3 linked regions of the Anolis sagrei genome follow. The protein of the gene in region 2 interacts with the protein of the main gene of each other region in a pairwise test. Links are inferred from orthologs where the notes say so. Each region holds a gene or a part of one and is shown on either strand. Other genes may lie near its edges.

Evidence for each region.
Region 1: the proteins of DDX6 (region 2) and BIRC7 interact in a two-hybrid assay, tested with the Homo sapiens proteins (3 studies listed by BioGRID and IntAct). The two-hybrid records come from large-scale screens. The link is inferred for Anolis sagrei from reciprocal best matches to the Homo sapiens genes DDX6 and BIRC7.
Region 3: the proteins of DDX6 (region 2) and SIPA1L2 interact in binary tests that used the Homo sapiens proteins (3 or more experiments, as listed by UniProt). The two-hybrid records come from large-scale screens. The link is inferred for Anolis sagrei from reciprocal best matches to the Homo sapiens genes DDX6 and SIPA1L2.

The regions. Positions count from the first base shown.
Region 1 is NC_090024.1:235,233,798-235,237,554, reverse strand, and holds the start of BIRC7 (baculoviral IAP repeat-containing protein 7), read right to left. Parts: upstream 2,624-3,757; 5' UTR 2,282-2,623; coding exon 1,642-2,281; intron 1-1,641.
Region 2 is NC_090027.1:43,714,074-43,717,830, forward strand, and holds the start of DDX6 (probable ATP-dependent RNA helicase DDX6), read right to left. Parts: upstream 2,437-3,757; 5' UTR 2,231-2,436; intron 1-2,230.
Region 3 is NC_090021.1:60,225,745-60,229,501, forward strand, and holds the start of SIPA1L2 (signal-induced proliferation-associated 1-like protein 2), read left to right. Parts: upstream 1-1,151; 5' UTR 1,152-1,527; intron 1,528-1,550; exon of another isoform or gene 1,551-1,676; intron 1,677-3,757.

The sequences.
Region 1 (3,757 bases), on a different chromosome or scaffold from region 2:
TCTGTGGAATGACCAGGGTGGGACAAAGGACTCTTGTCTGCTGGAGCTAGGTGTGAATGTTTCAACTGATCACCTTGATTAGCATATAATGGCCTGACAGTGCCTGGAGCAAACTTTTGTTGAGAAGTGATTAGATGTCCTTGTTTGTTTCCTCTCTGTTGTTGTGCTGTCGCAATTTTAGAGTTTTTTAATACTGGTAGCCAGATTTTGTTCATTTTCATGGTTTCTTCCTTTCTGTTGAAATTGTCCACATGCTTGTGGATTTCAATGGCTTCTCTGTGTAGTCTGACATGGTGGTTGTGAGAGTGGTCCAGCATTTCGGTGTTCTCAAACAAAATGCTGTGTCCAGGTGGTTTGTCAGGTGCTCTGCTATGGCTGATTTGTAATGTTACATTATAATATCAATATTATATTCTACTAGCTGTACCCACTACACATTGCTATGTCTGACCTTCCCTCTCTCTTTCTCTTTTCTTTCTCTCCTTCCCTCTCACCCTCTTCCCTTTTTTCCTCCCTTCCCTTTTTTCTTTCTTTCTCTCATTCCTTCCTTCCCTTCCTTTTCCCTTTCTTCCTCCCTTTCTTTCCCTTCCTCTTTTTTCCTTCTTTACCTATTCTTGGACTGCAACTCCCAACAGCCCTCCTGATCCATCTATCTACCTATCTACCTACCAATCTCTATCTAATCTATCTATTTATCTGGAAGATTGGTGGGAGTTGCAGTCCAGGAATAGGAAATTGGAAATATGCAGGGATTGAGATGCTCTCAAAGAAATCCAAGGAGAAGCAAGCTTGCATCTTGGAAGCAGTGCATTTGGATCATCCTCCTCTCCTAAGGGGCCTGGTCTAGGAGATGCTGGGAGCTGTAGTCCGGAAGAGAGTGTGGATATGCTATTGTGTGGGGGGTTTTTTTGCCAAGGGAGCCATTTTGCGCATGCGCTGTAGCATTTATTTCTTTTTTTGTTGCTTTTTAAGTCCCTTCCGCTGTGTTTTTCAGTGTTTATATGAGTTATGGTCACTCATTGGGCTGAGAGGTATATTGTGTCCACATTTGGTGTCAATTTGCCCAGTGGTTTTTAAGTTATGTTAATCCCACAAATGAACATTACATTTTTTATTTGCATAGATTACATTATATTATCAATATTATATGTGTATACAATATATTATTAGCACAGCACAATATTAGTATTATATATTACTATATTGTACTATACCATTATACTGTAATATTATTACTAATATTACATGTAATAAAATATATAATTATGATATTGTATTATTAGTAGTATTATATTGTACTACATTATAATATTGTTATCAATATTATATGTGTGTGCAATATCTTATATTATTAAAAAGCACTTCTGCACCAACAAGCTAATTGCTAAATGCCTGTTGAAATAAAATATTCTTCCTAGACCTCCTCTTTCAAAGTCAAACCATTCTGAACATGATGACTGAAATGGAGCCTTCACAAACAGAAGTACTTTCAATGCACATTCAACATTAATAAACAAGTAAAGTAATTGGTTTTGCAATATTATTTTCGAGTTCCCTGAAAAAGACCTGCTGGGACCAGAATACTGTACTACCTGGACTTTGGGTAAGACCTAGCAGGACAGTGCTGGTATTTGTGCATACCTGTGTAGAAAAAGCCTGCTCCCACCAGCTCCTCTGGAGACACGTGAGCGTAGGGTGGCCAGCAGTGATATGTCCTCAGGCGATCCCTTTCCATTTCCAGATCTGGATATTCCGGTTGGCTGTCTCCGGCAGCTTCTTCCATGTTCAAACTTTGCAGCATGCCAAGGAACTGGCCATCCACACAGTCCGGGATTTCTCCAGCCCGAGGCAGGGGCTGGTTGCCGAAATCCCTGCCCTGGATGAAGGGACAGCTTGGGAAGAACTTCTCATGCTCCACCATGGGGTCGTCTTCAGCAGTCCAGTCGTAAAGCACTCCTCCACAGCAGAAACACTCCACGTGGTCACCAGGCCCAATGAAGAAAAACCCAGCTGCAGACAAGTCGGATGGAGAGACAGGTACCTGCTCTGACCAGTGCCGGAAGGTCCTGAGTCGCTTTTCTTCCGATCTCATACCAGAGTGTGACAAATAGATTTGCCGGCCCCTGGTTTCCTCTGGAGAGGAGCTGCCCTCTGAAGATGCACTCTCCCTTCTGTTTGGATCTTCCATTTCCCGGTTGTTAGGCAGGAAAGAGGCCAGCACATCAGCAATAAACCTGGTGCTAGATGCAAGCAAACGCGTATGCACATCAGCAGCCTGCATGCTTTGGTCTTCTTTGGCTCTACCAACCGATCCACTGACAGTGTGTTCTGGAAATCTCCCAACTCCAAAAGCCAAACAAGCTCCCAAACAACAGATATTCAGAATTCTGGCTTTTCTGCAGTCTGCTGATTTTATTATTGGAGGTCAATGGTAGCCCTTCTGTCCAATTCTTCTCCTTGCTTGAACAGGAAAGGAAGAAAAAGAGAAACAGTCACAGCTAGCCAGATGTGAGTGTGAGTATTTTGGGTGGGGAGGGAGAAAGAAGAGAGAAATCCAGCAACAGTTTAAAGCAGGGGCACACTGGACACAAAAGGTCTCCTGTCAGACTGAATGCCTTGTGGACTTTGTTCAGGCAGGACAAAAGGGAGGGAGGTAATCCAGTGACTCACAGAATGACTAAACAGGTCTAATGTTTATGCCATTTACATAAAAGTAAAAGACCCATCCCACTGGTCTCCTGTTTATATATGTGTGTACTATTTTTTTCACTTTGAAATCAGTTTGCAGCAACTGAAAAAAAATGAAGAAAAAAAGAGAAAGTGGGAGGACAAGAAAGAAACCAGGATATTTTAAAACCAGCTGGAAAAGTGGAAAGCATAAGAAAAGTCAAGGCTGTTGAGAAAATAAACAGATTACCCCTGGATACTTTTTGGAAAACAGTTCCAAACTGTCTCTAAAATGTTCAAAATGTTTTAATTTACTTAATTACTTGGATCTGGTAGTTTCACTTTGCATGAGCATATTATTTGTTTTGAACAAAAGTTTGCTGTTGTTCTTTTCTATGGTGTAGGAATAGAACTCTATTATTTCCATGTTATACATGACTCTGGTATCAAATTCTCTGTTGAAACAGTAATTTCACGGAGCAATTAAGGCAATGGTTCTTAACCTTCCTAATGCTGCAACCCCTTAATATAGTTCATGTTGTGGAGACCCCCAACTATAATATTATTTTTGTTGCTACTTCATAGCTGTAATTTTGCTACTGTTATGAATTGTAATGTAAATAATATCTAACATGCAGGATGTATTTTCATTCACTGGACCAAATTTGGAACAAATTCCCGATATGTCCAAATTTGAATGCTGGTGGGGTTGGGAGGGATTGATTTTGTCATTTGGGAGTTGTAGTTGTTGGGATTTATAGTTAACCTCAATTAAAGAGCATTGTGAACTCCACCAACAATGGAGTTGAATCAAACTTGGCACACAGAACTCTCATGACCAACAGAAAATACTGAAAGGGTTTGGTGAGCAATGACCTTGAGTTCTGGAGTTATAGTTCACCTACCTCTAGAGATCACTGTGGACTCAAACAATGATGGATCTGGACCAAACTTAGCATGAATACTCAATACACCCAAATGTGAACACTGATTGATTTTGGGGGAATAGACCTTGACATTTGGGAGTTGTAGTTGCTTGGATTTATTGTTCACCTACAATCCAAGAGCTTTCTAAGTCAGAATATAGTTC
Region 2 (3,757 bases):
GCATTGAGTCCTTCGGGAGATGCTAGCGGGGTAGAAATAAAGTTAATAATAATAATAATAACAACAACTTTATTTGTACCCTGCTACCATCTCCCCAACACAATACACAATAACAACTTTATTTGTACCCCACTACCATCTCCTAACACAATATACAATTATTATTATTATTATATTAGCATTATACTAGTATTACTATATTGTTGTTATGCTACGTTTTTATTGAGGCCTTGGCCTGTGTAAGCCGCATCGAGTCCTTTAGGAGATGCTAGCGGGGTACAAATAAAGTTAATAATAACAACAACTTTATTTGTACCCCGCTACCATCTCCTAACACAATATACAATTATTATTATTATTTTTATTATTATTATATTAGCATTATATTAGTATTACTATATTGTTGTTATGTTATGTTTTTATTGAGGCCTTGGCCTAGTGTAAGCTGCATCGAGTCCTTCGGAAGATGCTAGCGGGGTACAAATAAAGTTAATAATAATAAGAATAATAATTGTATATTGTGTATATTAACTGTTTTGTATTGATTATTGTTATTGCTTTTGTTTATTGATGTGCTGTGGGCTCCCTTGGGGAGATGGTAGCGGGGTACAAATAAAGTTATTATTATTATTATATTAGCATTATATTAGTATTACTATAGTGTTGTATATTGTGGTTAATAACAATAATATATTGTGTATATTAACTGTTTTGTATTGATTATTGTTATTGCTTTTGTTATTGATGTGCTGTGGGCTCCCTTAGGGAGATGGTAGCAGGGTACAAATAAAGTTATTATTATTATTATTATTATTATTATATTAGCATTATATTAGTATTACCATAGCGTTGTATATTGTGGTTAATAATAACAATAATAATAATTGTATATTGTGTATATTAACTGTTTTGTATTGATTATTGTTATTGCTTTTGTTTATTGATGTGCTGTGGGTTCCCTTAGGGAGATGCTAGCGGGGTACAAATAAATTTGTTATTATTATTGTTATTATTATATTAGCATTATATTAGTATTACTATATTGTTGTTATGCTGTGTTTTTATTCAGGCCTTGGCCTGTGTAAGCCGCATCGAGTCCTTCGGGAGATGCTAGCGGGGTACAAATAAAGTTAATAATAACAATAATAATAATAGTATATTGTGTTGGTTATTGCTATTGCTTTTGTTTATTGATGTGCTGTGGGCTCCCTTAGGGAGATGGCAGTGGGGTACAAATAAAGTTATTATTATTATTATTATTAGCATTATATTAGTATTACTATAGTGTTGTATATTGTGGTTAATAATAAGAATAATTGTATATTGTGTATATTAACTGTTTTGTATTGATTATTGTTATTGCTTTTGTTATTGATGTGCTGTGGGCTCCCTTAGGGAGATGGCAGTGGGGTACAAATAAAGTTATTATTATTATATTAGCATTATATTAGTATTACTATAGTGTTGTATATTGTGGTTAATAATAAGAATAATTGTATATTGTGTATATTAACTGTTTTGTATTGATTATTGTTATTGCTTTTGTTATTGATGTGCTGTGGGCTCCCTTAGGGAGATGGCAGTGGGGTACAAATAAAGTTATTATTATATTAGCATTATATTAGTATTACTATAGTGTTGTATATTGTGGTTAATATAAGAATAATAATTGTATATTGTGTATATTAACTGTTTTGTATTGATTATTGCTATTGCTTTTGTTTACTGATGTGCTGTGGGCTCCCTTAGGGAGATGGTAGCGGGGTATAAATACAGTTAATATTACTATTATTATTATTATTATATTAGCATTATATTAATATTATTATGTTGTTGTATATTGTGTTAGGATACGCCCCTTTCGCCAAAAGAGTTGAGGGCGCAAACAAAGGTCGGCTGCATCCCGAAATTGGGGATGGAGAGAAGAAATGGGGAGAGTTTGTGGGAGAAAAAGAAGGGGGAGCGGGAGGGGGCGGGAAGGCGAGGCCGAGCCAGGGTGCGTGCTGGGCGGGGAAGCGCGCCACGCGAGGCCGGGGATGCGCTTCCCCCGCTAGGCCGCACCTCCCTCAGAGAGTCAGGAGCGAGGCCTGACTCAGGAGGGACGTCTCTCCCTTTCGAGCCCCGACCGGAAGCGGCGCCATTTGCATTTCCCCCCGCTTCCCTTTCCCTGGCCTTCCCTCAGCGAGGCCTCCCTTCCCTCGTCAGGCCTCGAGCCTGGGTTGGAGCTTACCCGCCCGCGCCCGGCTGTGGCTCCTTCCTCCGGCTGCGGCCCCTGGGCTCCCCCCTCCGCTCTCGCGCTCCCGCGCCTCCGCCCTCGGCCGCTGGCTCCTTTCGGGACGATGGCGGCCTGGGAGGCGGCGGCGACGGCAGCGGCAGCAACAGCGACGCGACAACAAGATGGCCGCTCTCTCCCTCCTTCCTCCTCCTCCTCCTCCTTCCCTTGCGTCCTTCCTCTCCACCAGGCCCCGCCTACTGCCCACTGCGCACGCGCGCCTTGCCAAAAGGGGGCGGGGCGACAGGGCGGCTCGGGCCTCGCCTCTGAGTGGCTCGGGAGAGCTGCCGTGGGCGGGGCTTCGTGAAGGGCACGCCCCCTTTTCGTTTTGTTTGGGTTGCAAGGAGAGGAAGGAAGCAGCTAATCTCTCTCTCTCTCTCTCTCTATCTATCTATCTATCTATCTATCTATCTTCTATCTATATCTATCTACTATCTATATCTATCTATCTTCTATCTATATCTATCTATCTATCTTCTATCTATATCTTTCTCTATCTATCTCTATCTATCGCTATCTATATCTATCTATCTAATCTATCAATCTATCTATGTCTATCAATCTATCTATCTAATCTATCTATATCTATCTAATCTATCTATATCTATCTATCAATCTATCTAATCTATCTATCCATCTAATCTATCTATATCTATCTATATCTATCTATCTATCTATCTATCTAATCTATCCAGAGAAGAGAATGATGCTGGGGAAAGTGGAAGGCAAAAGGAAGAGGGGCCAACCAAGGGCAAGATGGATGGATGGCATCCTTGAAGTGACTGGACTGACCTTGAAGGAGCTGGGGGTGGTGACGGCCGACAGGGAGCTCTGGCGTGGACTGGTCTATGAGGTCACGAAGAGTCGGAGACGACTGAACGAATGAACAACAACAATCTATCCATCTAATCTATCTATCTATATCTATCTATCTAATCTATCGCTATCTATCTATCTATATCTATCTATCTTCTATCTCTATCTATCTATCTTCTATCTATATCTATCTATCTATCTATCTATATCTAAAAATCAATCAATCTATCTATCTATCTATATTCTCTGTGCATAATGAGTATCTTAAAAACAAAATAACCAATGAACGAAATCACACCAAATTTGGCAACAAAACGTCTCACTACACAAGGAGTGACGATCACTCAAAAAAAGATGATTTTGTCATTTGGGAGTTGTAGTTGCTGGGATTTATAGTTCAGCTACAATCAAAAACATTCTGAACTCCACCAATGATGGAATTGAACCAATCTTGGCACACAGAACTCCCATGACCAACAGAAAATACTGGAAGGGTTCGGAGGGCAGTGTCCTTTGGTTTGGGAGTTGTAGTTCACCTACATCCAGAGGACACTGTGCACTCAGACAATGATGGATCTGGACCAAACTACACAAATACTCAATATGCCCAAATGTGAACACTGGTGGAGTTTGGAGAAAATAACCTTAACACTTGGGAGTTGTAGTAGC
Region 3 (3,757 bases), on a different chromosome or scaffold from region 2:
ACATCTACTGCCTTGCTGGTAGGTCCACTCGGCATTCGAGATGCAGTTCGACCCTGTAGCGGAGTCCACATCAGTAAGGGTTAGATTACAGTCAGCCTGGGAGAAGTTAAAACGGGGATTTTCCTTTAAAGAAGAAGTTATTGAAAACAGTTGCCTGTCCTTCATGGGCAAGATTAGGAATTCACCAGTTGCCTAAAAGCTTGGAATCATTTGCTTAACTTTACTGAAGACAAGAGAAGTTTCTGTTTGATTGTTCTTTAATAAAAGACTTTGTTGTACTTCTCAAGCCATCTAAAGACGGTTTGTGGTGGAAACCTCTGAGAACTTCTCTTTAGGCCTCCTGGCTTCCCGCTGGGCAAAGATTGCACATCCTGTTCTAAAGACAATTATTTACAGGCCCAGCACAGGACAGAACAATAGTGAAGCAACCAAGTTTGGGGGAGGGGGGATGTTGAATGCTCTCATTAAGGAGGCCAGACTTGGTGGAGGTGGTTGACAAGGACGGAGCTGCAGGCTATTGAAGGCTGCTCTGCCCCCTGCTGTGCTCTTTGCTACAGCGTGAGCTAGGAGGCAGGTTTCAACCCCCCCCCTTGCGAAATTTTCAACCTCCCCCCCCCCCCGAAAATTTAAACCCCTCCCGAAATTTTTTTCTGGCTACGGCCCTGCCTGGAGGGCCCAAGTTTGTCCATGCCTGTGAGTCTACACTGCAGACTTAACGCAGTTTGGACACCACTTGAAGTGCCATGGCTCCATGCAATGGAATCATGGGATTATGAAGTTCTTTGGCAGAGAAAGCTAAAGGACCTTGCAAAACTATAACTCCCATGACGTCACAGTTTTAAAAGTTGTGTCGGAGTGTATTAATTCATTCTGCAGCGTAGATGCACCTTACTGCAAAACAAGAGGCAAGGAAGGAGAGAATGAAAAAAAAAAAAGAAGCAGCAGCGCTCTTCGGACTCTAAAAGGCAAAGGAGACAAACAATTGGAAGAAGGAGGGGGAAAAAGGGGGGGCGAAAGGGGAAGGGCAGGGGGCGGGGCGTTCTGCCATGATGGGGAGGAGGGGGCGTGCCTTCCCGAACAGCACAGCCCAATAAGCGTGCTAGGGTTGGTCACAGAGTGAGGAAGGCAGCCAATGGGAGGCGAAGGGGCGTGGCTGAGTGGGTGCGGGTGCCTTGTGCTGGAGCTAAGCTCATCTTTCGGGCTCCCATCCTCCTCCTCTCCCTTCCTTTTTTTTCCTATCCGGCAAAACTGAGCCTGCAGCTCTCCGTCCTCGCGCTGGCGAAAGAAGCGGCCGTTGAAGGGGAGGCAAGCGGGCGCGAGGGGGAAGGAGCGGCGCGCGCCGAGGAAGGAGCCGCTCGCGCCCCCTCCCCTCCGCGTCACTTCAACAGACCCTCCGTCCTCTCTTGGCGAGCGCGAGGCAGTCAGTCCAGTCAGTCAGTCAGTCGCTCAGCGAGAGAGTTGACTTTATTTTTCCCCTCTCTGGCGAACGCGGGACTCTTCGGCTGAGGGAGGAAAGGAAAGAAGAAGGTGAGGGGTTTGTTCTCCGCCTGGGAATATAGGGAAGTCAAGCGCGGTGCGAGAAGGACTACCTGGGGGCCTCCCTCGGCCCGGCCTCCGTCCCACCACCGGCACCTCTCTCTCGGGGACCTTTCCCCCCTCAGACCGTCGTTTTGTGGGTGAGAGAGAGAACTGGCTGGGATGCTTCAGGCTTGGGCTCTTGTCGCCTTGTGTATGTTTGCGTGTTGTGAGCTCTGTTATGATTTCAGGGGCATTTCTAGTCTAGGCTTTCACCCCCCTCTCTTTTCTCTTTCTCTGGAATGCCCGAGACTTGTAGGGGCCTTGATACTGCAGGAATGCACTGTGTATGTATGACTATATGGACTAGGTGGGGGTGTTTAACACTTGTGGGTCTTTTATAGTGTATATTTTAAGTCTGTGTGTGTGGGTAAAGCTATTAACAACACTATTTATAACAACACTTTATTTGTATTGTCGAAGTTGTTCATGGACGGAATCATTAAGTTGTTGTGAGTTTTCCGAGCTGTATGGCCATGTTCCCGAAGCATTCTTACCCTGGACCTTCCACAGATATAGAAACCCAATTTCCCAGTTTCCAACAAACCTCACAACCTTGCCACAGATGCAGGCAAAACGTCAGGAGGGAATGCTTCTAGAACATGGCCGTACAACCTGAAAAACCTACAACAACCCATTCTCTTCTGACGTTTCGCCTGCATCTGTGGCAGACAACCTCAAAGATCGTGAGGTCTGAATGCTTCTGGAACATGGCCATACAGCCCGGAAAACTCACAACAACCCAACACTTTATTTATAACCCGCCTTCTCTCCCCCCCTTTATAGTTCAGGCAAGGAGTGTACTGACAATGGACAGGCTTTGGACACTGAATTAGACTTAGATATGGCTATATGGTTGATAATAATGTTTTAAATTGATTATTAACCTAATGTTTTTATCTAAAACGTAATGTCATGGTATAGTGTGTTTTTGTATGTGTTGGCATCGAATTGTTGCTGGTGTAAGCCGCCCTGAGTGCCCCCCCCCCCTTGTGGTTGAGAAGTACAGGGCACAAATAATACATGTGTGCAAAAGATTTGTGGGTATACCAGGCATGGGCAAACTTATTGTGTATACCATTTATACCAGGCATGGCGTACTTTGGCCCTCCAGGTGTTTTGGACTTCAACTCCCACAATTCCTAACAGCCACTTCCTAATTCAATCCATGTTCCCCACCCTTGTGATGGTAGAATGTGGACTTCATTACCACTGAGCCTAATTGGAGCCAAACATACCCAAAGATGTATTGTCAAAGGCATTCATGGCCCAAATCACTGTCCCAGAAGCATTATCTCTTGACATTTTTCTTGCATCTATGGCCGGAATCCTCATACCCAAAGATGGTGAACCAGATTTGCTCTCCCAGATTTTGGCCTTGAGGTGGGATGCAAAACTCCTCCTCTTGATTTTCCTTTCCTTGACAAAATAACCATGTAGGTTGGGTCCAGGCAATCTGCCTCTCCATATCATAGAAACACAGAGTTGGAAGAGTCCACAAGGGCCGTCCAGCCCCATATGAATCTTGGGTTCATGGCATGACTTCTCTAACAACATTTAGTAGCATATGTAGGAATAAATTGAAAAGAATAGGGATAGGTTCCTACACAAAAAGGGAGTTAAAATAACTAATACGCACATTTGAAATAGACATATGCTCAAATCCTCTGTGTGAGAGAGAACCGGTTGAGGTGCTTTGGATTTGTGGGGATTTTATATAGTGTAGGCATAAATTAGGTGTGTACATTCATGTGGGTAAGTCTGCTGGGGTGCTTAAGACTACGGAGCATTTATATAGCCCTGGCACGGGCAAACTTAGTCCCTCCAGGTGTTTTGAATTTCAGCTCCCCCAATTCCTTACAGCCATAGTTACACAGTATATGTATGCGAACTGGCAGGGTGTATGTGCATAAGACTCGCGGGGCTTTTGTAGTGTAGTGTAGTGTGTTTGTGTATGAGCTAGCTGGAGCACTTAAGTCTTGTGAGGTTTTATAGGATAGGAATACACTATGTGAACTGCTGAGGGTGCTTAAGATTTATGAGGATTTTATAAGAGTAGGCACACTGTGTGTGAGCTGCTGGGGTGCTTAAGATTTTTGGAATATTTATGCTGTAGGCATGCAGTATATGTACATGGGAGCTGCGTGTCAGGTGCTTTTATAATGTGGACATCTTTCATAAT